Medicago truncatula: one gene and its partner. Each later gene encodes a partner of the first gene's protein in a complex. Links are inferred from orthologs where the notes say so. Each region holds a gene or a part of one and is shown on either strand. Other genes may lie near its edges.

What was found.
Region 2: the proteins of peroxisome biogenesis protein 22 (region 1) and protein PEROXIN-4 are in contact, whole or in part, in a crystal structure (PDB 6XOD), measured with the Arabidopsis thaliana proteins. The link is inferred for Medicago truncatula from reciprocal best matches to the Arabidopsis thaliana genes PEX22 and PEX4. Residues at the interface, in NP_566696.2 of Arabidopsis thaliana: Tyr182, Val187, Leu188, Asp189, Asp190, Glu193, Asp214, Lys215, Leu217, Phe218, Cys219, Ser220, Thr221, Gly224, Ser227, Phe228, Arg230, Gln231, Leu232, Glu233; in NP_001031939.1 of Arabidopsis thaliana: Phe78, Phe84, Lys85, Asn125, Asp127, Asn130, Leu131, Gly135, Asp136, Val137, Arg138, Gly139, Ser142, Met143, Met146, Tyr147, Arg149, Leu150.

What each region holds. Positions count from the first base shown.
Region 1 is NC_053043.1:43,578,385-43,585,499, forward strand, and holds the start of peroxisome biogenesis protein 22, read right to left. Parts: upstream 3,010-7,115; 5' UTR 2,808-3,009; coding exon 2,697-2,807; intron 1,728-2,696; coding exon 1,491-1,727; intron 1,348-1,490; coding exon 1,300-1,347; intron 509-1,299; coding exon 452-508; intron 364-451; coding exon 262-363; intron 1-261. Other genes in the region: cyclin-U1-1, read right to left, coding at 5,964-6,243, 6,688-7,109. UniProt on the Arabidopsis thaliana protein: May be tethered PEX4 to the peroxisome membrane and may be involved in a late step of the matrix protein import. Does not play a role in the biogenesis of the peroxisomal membrane.
Region 2 is NC_053044.1:54,405,052-54,412,396, reverse strand, and holds the start of protein PEROXIN-4, read right to left. Parts: upstream 3,015-7,345; 5' UTR 2,868-3,014; coding exon 2,862-2,867; intron 2,682-2,861; coding exon 2,562-2,681; intron 2,408-2,561; coding exon 2,279-2,407; intron 88-2,278; coding exon 1-87. Other genes in the region: TOM1-like protein 9, read right to left, coding at 4,594-5,177, 5,314-5,771, 6,542-6,781, 6,923-7,008, 7,164-7,248. UniProt on the Arabidopsis thaliana protein: Required for peroxisome biogenesis. Necessary for the developmental elimination of obsolete peroxisome matrix proteins. May be involved in the ubiquitination of PEX5, targeting it for recycling.

The DNA.
Region 1 (7,115 bases):
TTCTTCAAATATCATTTCTCCAAAAAAAAAAAACTAGCTTAAATTTCATGTTCTGAATCTTAGGGTAAGAGTTTTTGCTTCAAGTAACTACCATATCCCAGTTCATTTTTACAGAATCATTCGGTCATAAAAAAATATCCATAACACTGAAAAATGGTGAATTTGCAGCATATATAACATGAAGTATTGTGCATCATTTCCATCAAGTTCATTACATAAGACGTGATGAGTGATTAATATATGGTGATAAGTGACACACACCTCGCTTTCGTCATCCAGAACCCGATCCATGAGATATAAATCACAGAATTTAGTTATTTCCAACAATACTTCTAGCACAGAGGATCTCACAGTGGCTTTGGTCTGCAGAGAACAGAATGAACAGCATTGCTATCTCTCTGTGTTGATGTCATAAAATAAAACAAAAGTATAAGAAACGACAATTTCACACCTGAAGCTCCTCTGGACTACTTTCCTCAAGGATCACTCCAAGAAGACGACAGGTTACCTACATACAACTTATTGGTCATAATAGCCGGGAAACATAGGTCAAACAAATGTTTAACAACCAACAACACAGACTTGTAAATAAATGTTCCTCATGTCCATCCAGTTTGTACCCAACTATTTTGCACAAAGATATGCATATAACAATCTTATTCAGGTGTATTAAGAGAAAAAGAATAGTACCAGTGCCGCTTATTAAGATAGACAAAATAAAAGATATAACAAATTAAAGCACCATCCTTTAACCTAAAGAGAAACATAAAATTAGCTTGTATTTTAAAGCTGGCTTTACTTACAACCTTCACTTTTAAATAAATCAACTTATAAAGCATTAATTTAATGAATACTTATTTTAAGTTTCCCTAAAGTAATGAGATTGTTATTGATGTCGGTAAAATATATAAACTTCGTGTAAATTCTGCGTGTCTCTTGTGGGTCTATAATGAGATCACAGACTTTGTATTTATAATGGTTTTACAATAAATACATTGAATGCTTAATTAATAAGCACTAGCCTAGGAAGTTGTATACTCTAGGAGTAATAACAATCAATCGACATATGTCAACAATTCTAATCTATAAAGCTATAAACAGGTAATTTGCCATGACATGTTAATTTAACCTTAAGTAGATTAAGAATTTAAATTCTAAGACAATGGTGGTCTCCCAAATTGTCATTTCTTATGATCACAGGAGATGGTAATTTCTAGAAGGCTATAATAAACATAAAACTAAGTCTGGAACACACATCACTACTACATAAAGAGTGCATGAGAGAATATGTTTAATTACCTTTCTTCCTTCACTCAACTTCTGCCTCACTATCTGCCCCAAGGTTGGCTGAAAAAATTGAGAAAAAAGCAAACTTAGAATACTAAAGCTATAAAAAAATACAGCGGATATTAATCCACAAACATTCATGCATTGGCTGAATTCTGAATCATTAAGCAAAGGAAAGTGGGAAACAAAATAAAACATCATACCTTGACTGGCTGAAAGAACTCATCTACAACATTTTGTGCCCTTAATTCATCTGAAGGTAAAGAAGCATCAGAAGGAACAACCGACGCATTTGAATTTGTGCTAGCTCCAGGATTACTAGATGCACCACCTTGCCTTTTCCGTTGCCTCCCTTGTGTAGGATTAGGAGATCTCAACAACCTCCAAGTGAAAACAATCGCAACAGCAAGACCAGCTACCGCCCCAATAGTGCGAATATCCTAATAACAAGTACAATATCATGAGCTTTGGAATATTTACACGAGTTTAATTTTGAGACACTATTTGTGTCAAAAGTTTTATATTGTCGACAACAACAACAACCGAGAGAGCCTTATCCCACTAAGTGGGATTAGCTACATGGATCAAACTACACCATAATGTTCTATCATATGCCATATTTCGATCCAACTCATTAATCTCTAGATCTGTCCTAATAGTTTCTCTTATAGTTTTTTCAGGTCTTCCTCTACCACTAGTGATCTGACTACCTTCCATCTAATCTACTCTCCTTAATACATAATCTACAAGTCTTCTCTCTGCAATATATGCCCAACCACCTAAGCCTAGTCTCCACAATCTTTTCTCCCATCGGTGCTACCCCAACTCTCTCTTTAATGTTGTTGTTTCTAATCATATATGTAATTTTATAAGTAGTAATGATTAAAGACAAATGTTTTTAACAATTTAACAAGCATTATTGATTGATAGTGTAAAAGTCCTTATTTACACATCCTCCAAAAAAAACCAAAACATTACATTGATCATTTGTACAATCCAACTTAAACTATACCTTATTTAAATACATATTAGGTCACAATTTTTCCCCAATTTGACAAAAACCATGACACATAAAAGCTCATTTTTCCTAGTTTCTACCCACACCCAACATTAAAAGCGAAAAACCCATTTAAAGTTTCTAACAAAAAAACAAACTTCCACTCTTTGGGTTGTTAATTATCCAACCCTGGTTCCTAATCATTCAATCAACGATAAAGGGTCATAAAAAAATTCATTAAAAATATCAAATTTCTTACATAACAGTGAAAATAGAACCAATCATATATCACAAAAAAAAACAATAACAATATTTTGATATCATATATCAGATCCAATAGAATGATCAATAATTGAAAAAAGGAAGAGAGAGAGAGAGAGAGAGAGAGAGAGAGAGAGAGAGAGAGGAATACGAGAGAGAAGAGATGACCGATCTTGAAAGTAACAAAAGCACCAAAGCGTTTGATGAGGTGAAAGAGGTCTAGTTTGGAGGCATCATCGTTGTCACCACCAGACACGGCCATGTTTCACCACCGTAGGCCTCACCGGAATTTGAACAAAAAAAAACAATTGAATGAATTAACGTTGTTCAAATACAAAGAAGAAAGATGATGTTTTGTTTTATTTGTGTCTCCGTTCGTTTGCCGTCAACAACTGCGCCTATGAGCTGTCGTCAGAGGTTCTTTCCAAGTTTCTCTTCCAATTTTACCAATATCCTATTATTTTATCTTATCTTATGAATATGTCGTCCTAGGTTAAAAGATAAAAAACAAAAGTAAGTAATCATGTTTTTAGCTTTAAAATTAAACTTTTTTTTTTTTTTGCATCTATCTTAAAAATAAACATTTATTTCTTCATTAAAGAATATAAAAACTAAATGACATTCTTTTTTTTTATTAAAAAGTTTGGGAGAGTTGCTATCAAAAAGAAAGTTTAGATAAATTGAGTCTCAATACTCATCATATTATTCATTTTGAGATATAAGATTTCAACTCATTATCAACTAAACCAACTTTTACCGGCAAATAAATAACATTCTAGAGTTTTGTTATATTATAGTCATTCTCCTTTTTTTTTTTTTTTTTACTATTACCCGTTTTATAAAAAATAAAAAATAAAGGTATTTTCTCATATAAAAAAAAAAGAGGTTTTTCTTCAAGTGAAAATTTGCACATGTTAAGAAGTTTAAAATAGTAACTTTGTCTTGAAACTTGTTCATTTTATATTAAATATGTAGTTTTTTAATAAATTATTGTTGTCTTTCAATAAAAAAAATACTATTTTTAGTTGCTTTAAACATGTGCAATATTACAAATGTTAGACAAACTCAAAAAGAAATATTTTAATTTCTTTAATAAAAATATGGACAAGTTTATTAAAAATAATTGTTTTTTATATGTTGGAGAACATGTGAGACATATAAGGTGGATTCTTTATTTTCAATCTGATTTTTTTCCACACATAAGAGCATAGGATTGAACCCCTAACTACATATTTAAGGAGCACAAGTCCCTTAAACAAGAAATTCATATTTTAAGTAAATTCATATGTGGGTTGGCTCGAGTGATAAAGGATTTAGACACTTTGGGTGTGTTTGGTTTGGAAGACAAGTTGTGAAGAGAGAAATAGGTGAGAGAGAGAGAGAGAGAGAGAGAGAGAGAGAGAGAGAGTGAGAAAAGAGAAATATGTGAGAAATAGAGTAGATTTGATGGGTTGTTTGTTATAAAAGAGATGAGAGAAATAGAAGAGAAAGAAGTGTTGATTATTTATAAAAATACCAAGATACCCCTACAATAAAGTGAATAGATTGAGAATATAATATTTTAATGCAAGGGCAACAATGGAACAACAAAGTGAATAGTCTTCTGTCTCCCCTTTCTTCTCTATTTTCTTCTCTATTGTGAGGAGAAACCAAAAAGTGATGGATCCCATTACTTTTTAATCTCTATTTCCTATTTCTCTTCGTTCCAAACAAGAGAAAGTTGCTCTCTCTTCCCTCTTTCTCTCTTCCTTATTTATCTTCAACCAAAGAGACCATAAGTAACTTAGCACGAGTTAGATTCATGCGTCTTGCATAGACATGGTAACAAAACCCATACCCGCAGTTACCCGCCCGAACCAAACTCAATTTGACGGGTTTTCCCCGTTTTGACTGGGTTTGGGTATGAGTATGGATTTTCCCCGATTTCAAAACACGGGTATGGGACGGGTAACGGGTATTTAGGTACCCACTTCGAACCCATACCCGTCTAACAAATGTATGTTATTTTGTTTGATAATTGTCATGTTAATAAAAACTACCATTGATATTTAAAGGATCAACTAAATCATTCTGTCTAACAAATGTTAAAGTGAGCATATTGTTGGATAATGTATTACAACGTTTCTCTTGGGGATGCAAAACACTTCTATTTTTTATTAAAAAAAATTATTCGATACGGGGGATGGGGATGGAGTGGGGATACCCGAACCCGTCGGGGATGGGGATGAGATTCAATTTCTCATCCCCGTTGGGTATGGGTAGGGTAACAGGTAAGTATATGAAAATCAGGTATAGGGACGGGGAAGGTAAAACCCGACCCCACCCTGCCCCATTGACATGCCTAGTCTTGCATTTGAAGAAAATTGAGTTGCAAAGAAAGAACTCGTCTATGATAAATTTATATATTCTTGTTTTTTTTTTTTTTTTTTTAAAAAAAGTTTAGATTGGTTGGATCTTGAGGGATCATTAGAGTCAGGATAAATCTCAAGGTTTAAAGGAGGCTTACAAATATATTTACATATCATTCATCAAACACGGCTGCAAGAGTTGAACTCGTTTTTTTGCTTAACATGCATTCAACTTCATACCATCTAAACCAACCTTTATTGGCTAAATTCATATATTCTTCATATAAGTGAGTGCATTAAATTAACATCATGGAACAAAATTCGAATCTCACATAAAACAACAGTAAAAGGAATTGAGTTCGAATCTCATATAGAATAATAGTAAAATAATCATTAGTCTTATAATAATTTTTTTTTCTCCTTAAAAAAAATTAATTTTTTTTTCGTTCTTCTATCTTTCCTTTTTAGAAAAATTGGGTGCGTCAAATTATGTATTTAATTAAATTAAATTAAACATACATTGTAAATTAAATTGGCAATCAATTATAAAATGTTAGATGATTAGAACCTTTTTTTTTTCAAAAAAAAAAAAATTAGAAACGTTAAACTTTTACTATAACTTTTTTTTTTTTGAACTCACATACATAATTGGTTCTGATGTAATAGTAGGGTTTGAAAATTAAATTATTTCTTTGATCATTCTATCTTTCATTTTATTTTGACAAAATCACGTGATAAAAAAATTAACCAAAAAAGAAAAGTGAGAATGAGAGAAAAAGAAGACATACATCACTTTAAGTTTGTATAACTTTTATCATTTAATTAAGTACATTATATGATGACTCCAAGAATAACAAGCTTTAGGAAAAATAAAATTTAAAGAGAACAATGAATATAATTGTATTTTGTTACAACTAAAGCCAAATTTGACAAAGTTCGTATCAATCATATTCATATAAATAAGAAACTGGCCAATGAATAATCCAATAATTGCTTAGCCATGAAGAAAAAGAGAAGGACTAAACAGGGCAAGGGACCCCAAAATTGACAACAGAAAGAAAGAAAAGTACTTATGTCAGTCCATAATCCACAATTGGAGGTGGGGAAGAGCTTTGCTGATCTTCAACTGATATTTCAGTCTCAAAAGATTTTGGTGACAATATCCTTTCAATCTTCAAGCCAGTTCCATTTACAAGCATCTCTTTTTCTAAGTGCAAACAGTAACTCTCAAAAACTCGAGGGCATACCATAACTTTAAAATCCAACAGAAAGAGTAACTCTAATTCCAGCTTGTTCAATTCAGCATTGCTAACCCCTCCTACTCGAGCATATACCGCGTTGTTATAATGTCTACAGCTCAGAAAACCAAAGAACATGATGCACAAAATCAGAACAAAGACGATATTACAGTAAGCTAAAAGAGAAGTAAAACTAACCATTACTTAAAAGGCCTGGATAAATAGCTTAATTAAGCACTTATAGCTTAAGTGTTTATGCATAAACTATTTCGATAACAAAAAATAAAATAAAGTCGATCTGTTTTCATATAAACTATAAATTGTTTTTCTAAGCTATCATAGAGAACTTATGATAATAAGCAAAAAAAAAAAAAACAACTAATGGACATATCACAAGTAGTTTTCATAAGCTCTCTCAAAGAGTCTCATAAGTGTTTATGTAATAGATAAACTCGGATAAGCTAATCCAAATAGGCCTTTAAATCAACTTCAGTTCCTTTAATAGTGCAATAAAACAGTAAGCTTTAGGAGAAGTAAAATGGGGTTAGGGACTCACTCATCATCTAGCATCTTGGAAGCAACCATGACACTGGTAACTAGCAACCTGTGCACATTCAAGGATAAGACTAGAGAATCAGGGTGCTTGTGAGTCAGCATGTCTATATACACATAGCCAACCACAAAACATGATGGGCTACAATTAGTGTATTTGTATATCCTCTCCAAGTACTTAGGTATGCTTATTCCTGGTGCTCTTACGCCATGAAACAAATTCAAGCTCTTCCCTAATCTTACTGAGCCATTATTCAGCTTATCTAGTTCCTGGTTCAACTCATCTACTAGCTTTTCATTGCGAGACACCAGCTTCTCTAAGGTGGAAGAGAGGATCCACAGCACTCTTGGCAAGTTCAGCTCGGCAGGCCCTGTTACCGGCTGATTCTGCCGGCTATGGTTGCTGTACTCACTTGCTGTTAACATTTAGGC
Region 2 (7,345 bases), on another chromosome or scaffold:
CAATGCAATTATAGCTCTACAAACAGATTGCAGAGTCCATGCGGGGCTCCAAGCAGTTTTCAAGATATCTAGGCAAATCTCTCCGGTCTGGAAAATTATTAGAAGTTTAAAAAGTATTCATGAAAAAATGTCAAGAAAAACAAATCCAATTGAATAAAATGAAGTTATCTATCAAATTTATAAAGAACAAAAGGAAAGCAAAAATAATTGACTAGGAATTCAACTTCAAATCAATATTGTTGTCAGTTTCCAACAAGTTCTTATGAAACTCAAAGGGGAGGGGGTGTAATAGTGGAAATTACCAGTCTCTAACTTATCAACATCATTGGTCTTCCCATTATAGAGAAGGCAGTCAAGACAACCACACCAGTCTAAATCTTAATTCAGCTGTTTGATTCGGATTGGCTGGAGAGAAAAAAATTAAAACCAATCTAATCACATGCAACATGTTTGGATCCTCTTATACCACAAACTCGAAACAAGCCAACTTGTGAATACCCCTAATTTCACACTGATGGTTCATAGAACTATGAAAGAGACTACTAGGGTATCAGATCCCATTCACTCTTCATGTGAACAACTACTAGATATTTTTAAGTACAAATTACAATGACTTCCCTGGGATATCTTCAAATAACACAGACATCCCCTCTATTTTTAAATCAAGCTCTATCCTCGTTTAATTTTGAAGGTGACAGCTGCCTCCCTTATAAATTAACATCGTTTTCCATCCATTAAAACAAAAATTCCTCAGAACATAGTTTTAAAAACCGGACAGGCCGAACCGGAAACCAGAGCCATGGCTGGTCCAGTCACTGTGTTGGACCAGATAAGCATATGAACCGGTTGATTTCCAGTTGAACTGGTCGAACCGGTTCTATTCAACAGTTAAACTGGTTTGTAGTTACATCAAAAATTAAATAAATGGCACTGGATCTCTAAGGAGTAGAACATGAGACAATTGATGTGCTACTTTACATCCTTAACTGCTGGGAAAACGTGGAATCTTGCAAAATTATCACTTCTACTTGTTTAAATATATATATATAACTGATGTTACTAGTTTTCTGTGTTAGATTACTTGCTTTAATATGTATGTTACTACTTTTTTCGAAAAAAAGTATATATTAACATTTAACTTTTATAAACTATATTGTTATAACGTTAACTTTCAAGACTTATCAAATTAAAAATAAATTTAGTATATGTATTTATAAGTAATAAATTTGTAACGATTTATATTTTAATATAAACTGGGTCAACAGTCATGCGGTTCAACTAGACTACTAACACAGGGCCTTGACTGGGTTGATCCCGGCTGCGGTTAGGGTTTTAAAACATTGCGTCAGACTACTTTCCCTCACTCAGCAAATAATCTTCAAAGAAGGGAATATGCAAAGAAAGCATGACGACATTGGTAAAGCTACTCTCTTACTAAATCTACCTTTTCCATCACAATTAAAATACAGCACCTGAATTACCATGTGTTGCCGAATTAACATTAACTTACTGGTACATTTTATTTTGCCAATTAAAATCCATACTTCAACAAGTTCAATGAGCGTAAAGTTCACCCAAATTGGTCGGCTTATTGTTAACCCGACAACAAGTGGCATACAGGGTGCAGACATCTAGATAATGGCTCAATACCCCAATCATGTGAGGCATATTAGTGCTGCCATGTTCCAACCAATTTGGTATATTAGTTGCTCAATTTGGCATGGAGATAATTAAGTTTTACCAGCCAAACCAAGATGAAAATAGACCAACCAATTTGATATATTATTAGCTATTGTCATCGTGTTCTTGATTTTGTAGACAATATATGAAGTCAAACACCAAACTGAAAAAAGCAAAGGCACGGGGTGTATCCATCATTCACACCAGACTTTAGAAAAATACAATTATTACCCTCCAGCAGCGGAGCTTTAGGCTCAGAAAGCCAGTTTCACAGATGAGACACCAAATGAAGAAGACGGCAGACAAAAACTTTTTCTCTTTTTGTCGGGTAACAGTGTTAAAGTTGGGGGAGGTTAGTGTCTTTGGCAAACTAGAGGGTGTATGTGTGATATTTTAACATATCTCAGGGCAATGCAATGCAATTTACCCTATTTTTAAACTATTATCATCACTTATATGGAATGCTTGATAAATCATTCATCAGCAAAACAAATTAGGATGATATAATTCTCTTCAGATATCATACAATTGTGTTCTAAAAGTGAAAAGCATCAGCAAACAACAATCTGATAGTATCTTACAGAGCAATCCATTGTACCTTAAAATGCACGTTGGGGTGAAATATTTTAGTCAAAAACCGAACTTGAGGAGGTTGTAAAGGATAATGCTCTGGAACAGAAAATGCAAGCTGGAAAACACCCCCATCAAACGGAGTCTCTGAAGGTCCCTGGTGGTAAACAAAATAAACCAGAGCAAATCTCAGATCATCCCAACAACAATAACAACTAAGTCTTATCCCACTATGTGGGGTCAGATCAAATTACGTCATAATGTTCTATCATAAACCATATTCTAATCGTCGAGAGCATTCGCTAGCATACCTTGATTAGAGCTGTCCATTTAAAAATGTTGGAATCATCACAAACGAGTTGAATATCAGGATCAGCTGTCTTCTCTCGTTGCACTTCTTTGTACTCCTTGAACAGCCTCGCCCTTGATGCCTGCGTTAAAAACACAAACAAATCCAATTTCAATATGCTAAGCTTTCTGCAATTACAAGAACACAAATCCAATTTTGCATAACCCTAACTAACCAATAACCACCAACAAACAAGACCTACTAATCAATTCAATACAAGATAATTGAAGTCACTAAGAATTGCATCCATTAACGAACGAACCTGCATGATTGATATTCACAACAAGAAAAAGAGGTGAAGAAATCTCAAAAAATGTCGAAGAAAATTATCACTACATTCGTTTCTCTCTCCTCTAATTGATACTTTTCCCTTTTGTGAATCAACCGTTGGATTAATACAACGGCGGAGAATTGCACGGGAGAGACCGTACAGATAGACAAAACGGCACTAGGGGATTGGTTGAAAGTCTTCCTTAGACGCAACCTTTTGTCATTTAGACACTCACACATAAAATACATTTTATTTAATTATTTAAAAAATAGTCATTATTTAATTTTATTTATTTATTTTTGAGAAAAAGTATTATTTAATTTTTCTTTTTCTCTATCTTTTTCTCAATTATGGGGATTGGATTCCAGCTGACTTTCTTTTTTATAATTTTTTTAACTTTTAATTTTATTGAATAATTTAGTGTGCACTATAATTTTACGAGATTAGTGATGATGATGGTGTAAAATAATTTTCCATCATCATACGAATATATCTTGTAACCATCTTTTAAAACTAACAATTGCATTTTTTTATTCTTTTAGTTTAAGTCTTAGTAAGGAAAAATTACTAACATAACAACTATAATTTCTCATTCAAAAATAAATATAAAACTTGTTTACTCTAATAATACATACTATCTTTCTTTAATCTAATTTGATAAATAATAATAGTTTAGGGAATATGCACTAATAGTGTAAATTAGTTTTACATTGTCGTTTGATAAGAACTATTTATATTGTCAAGGCTAGTTTTATAATTATAGTGCATGTCCCATTTTCTCATATGATAATTAGGGTACACAAATCAAGTATAATTGGTGTCCATTTTCAATGTTAACTTTTTTATGAATTCAATCTTATATTATCATTTTGATCCTCGTTATTTCTTTAATCCATATAATATTATTTAAGTCTCTGTAATATATATTTTCCATTTCAAACCCATTTTTTCGGGTCGAGACCCTATCATATATGGAACTAATTAAGCATAAACCAAGGGTGACTTTAAATTAGAAGAACCATCGGTGAACCTAAACAAATCACTTGATGTGGTCGGTCACCAACCAATCACCGTTTTTGAGAAGGAAAAAAACTCCGCTTTTGAATTTTGGATCCTCTCCTGCTAGTTCTCTCCAGCCTTACATTCTACATTAATCTCAGCCTTCGATTTTGTCTTTACCACTCATTTTCCTCTTTTGTCAACACTGTTGGATTAAATCCAACGCTTGAAAAGTGCACAGGGAAGATGGCAGTACCAAAACAGCAGGAGTGATCCGTTTGCCCGTTTTTGAGATCACTCAAAAAAATAAAAAATGGAGACAATATTGGTGTTCATAGAGTGAGAAAACAAGGAGTGCGGACAGGAAAAAAAAAATGATGGGGAACAAAACTAAAAGGAACCCCATAGTATAACAAGGACCGTAATGAAACGAATACATTTAATGGAGATCACTCCAAAAAAAATAAAAAATCAGGGACCAAAGTGAAAATGTAGGTATATATATATATATTACAGGGATAAAAAAAGAAATATTATTATAGCCTAAATCTATCGCCGGTTGGCAGAGAAGCAAAACAATATGGAACAGTAACAAAACAAAAATATACATATATATTATATTACTATAAAGAAAGTAAAATGTAAAGAATAATGAAAAAAAATGGCAAGAGTAGGCAAACAAGTGAAAAAGGCAAAAAAACAAATCTTAGTTTTTTAAGGGCTATCAGCTGGGGCCTGGAGTGGATTTTGGTTTCACTTTTGAAAAGTCAATAAGATCTCCAAATAACTTATCCTCAGGCTTGGAAGGCTTTCCGGATGGCGCATAAGATGCAGCAGAAACCTGGTAAGGATTTCTTGAAGCATTATCATCTCTCACAGATAAACCATACATTTGCTGCTCGATATATTGAGGCCCTTGTTGCTGTTGCTGACCATAGCCATATCCCATAAATTGGTTACCATACATCTGTTGAGGATACATGGAAGCCACGGGACCATTTTGCATTTGATGCGGAACCATGCCCATATAAGGACCTGCAACACCCTGAATATACGGAGGCTGCAAACCAAATTGGTTACTTTGAACCTGGTTATTGATTGAAGAGAAATGGCTAGCATTTGGCTGCATATACATTCCAGCAGCCTGGTCATACCCGGTTGCTTGAGGTCCCTGAGGAAGGGCAGCAGTTTGTACATGTACCGTGACTTGCAGTGGCTGCGGGTATTGACTGCCGGCTACTGGACTACCATTGTCTGCAGGTTGAATTTCCCAAGGAGGAGGGGGAAATGATCCACCACTTTGTGCACCTGTATACGAAAATTTCATGAACCAACTCAAAAGTAAAGATCAGAAATCATAGAAACTACTATAAAGAATAGAACATAATTGTGAAAGGAGTTGAGCAAGACAGGAATTAAATCTAAAAGGAAGCATTAAGTGCACCATAAACGGGTGAAGGTGGCTGTTGCTGTTGCTGCTGCACAACCTGACCATTCCAGGCAGGACCTGTGTTTTGAGTATATATTGATTGCTCGTACCGAGGTGATCCCACATTAGGCATACTTCCATTCGGGTAAAATACACCTTGAGATATGATAGTTTGTTGTTGAAATTGGGGGGCTATTAGCTGGGTATTAACAGAAGTGGGTACAATGTTTCCATTAGAAAACAAATCAAAAGGAACAAGGGCATTCTGTTGAGACACAGGACTGGCAGGCTGTTGTTCTACAGGAACAAGAGCAAGTGAATTATCTGCTTTTGGTGAGTTATACTCTTCACCACTGAGCAGATCCCATTTGGGATCAACTTTTACTGGAGGAGCCGAACCATTTGATGTAGAGGGTGCAGGAAGCAACAATTGATTAAATGTTTGAGACCCTGCTTCAGCACTAGAAGATGATCTGTAAAAAAACATATTAACTTGAGAGCCATATAATATAACCAAAAGGCACCAGACAGGTTTAGTCAACTTGAAATGCTTTTCGACACCAATCTATTTCTGCATGTTTATACTTAATATACACAAATCTTCAGCCAAAACTAAGCCTATGATCCATTGCTCCGACATAGAGTAAAACACATAAATGGAGACTTCCTGTGACACATAATGCTCCCAGGTCAAATAAGAAGAATGAAAAAAACTAAGTGTTTGATTCCCTTACTAAAATCCATTTTTCAGTTTTTAAATAAAAACTGAAAAACTTGTCTGATTAACTTTTTAGTGAAATTGTTTTACAAAAATGATTCTTGTTTTCTTGTTTTTAAAACTTGAAAATCAAAACAGGTAATACTGGTTTTAAAAACTAAAAACCAAAATACAATCAAACAAGCCCTAACAATCCAAAATAAATTAGCACAGAACTTCACACAGCCCTAGCTTTTAAGCCAAAACTCATCTTCAAATCCCCATAAAGCAAAGAGATCAGACCACTAGAAACAATATAAAAAAATTTCCCAGTTTCATTGGGCAAATATAATTTTTGATTTATTTTGAATTAGAAAAATCACTGTGTCAAGAAGAAAATAGCAAACAGAAAAGAATCACGTGTATTATAACAGGGTGAAAAATGAATTACTTGAATTATAATTGGGTAAGAGTTAAGAACAATAGTATCCTATGTAAATGAATGCAGAGAGTAGAAATGGAGAGCGGAAATAGACATTGGACTACCTCGCATCAGTTTGTTTACTAGTATCTCCAGTATCAATCAAAGGACCATCAACATCTATAAGTGCTCCACTAGGTTCAGGATTTGGTTTCTCAGTGTGATTTTGAACAGCAGCTCCTGAAGAAATGGATTCATGCTTGTGATTTTGAACAGCAGCTCCCGAAGAAATGGATTCATGCTTGGAAAGTACACGCTGCAGATCATCATTAAGAGCTAGTCCTTGGCATAGAAGTGACTCATCCCTGGAGAAAATTAAACCATAAATAATAACTAGTTTTTTCTTTGGATTTAAATAAGAAATTTCCTCAAGAATACACAAAATGAATTTAACATGTAAAGAATATGATGATGTGGTCATCATGAAAAAGAACAGCAGGCCTTACGAAGTTGAATTAACAAGGTGTACCACTCTTTGCTTGTATGTGCGACATTGCTCCACCAAATCAACAATAACTTCCTGCCGGAGGCCCTAAACATAGAAGTAACGGTCATACATGTAATGCACTAATGCTACATATTCAAAAAAATCGGTGCTTTTCCCCCATTGATAAAACCCTCAAGTTTCACATGATATTTTTCTATCTAGATACATCATAATTTGAAAGCTCAAATTGAACATCTTACTTCTTTGTTACTACTAGGCTCTAAAGCAGTGAGCATTTCTGCAAGAACGTCCATAATACCACGTGCATTCTGAATTTCGGTCAAACTGACAACAAAAAGCTCAATTAGAACAAATCAATGCAGAGTCAGATATGGTAATTTGTACCACAGAGAATAATGTTTATCATCGTCTAAGAATAGTT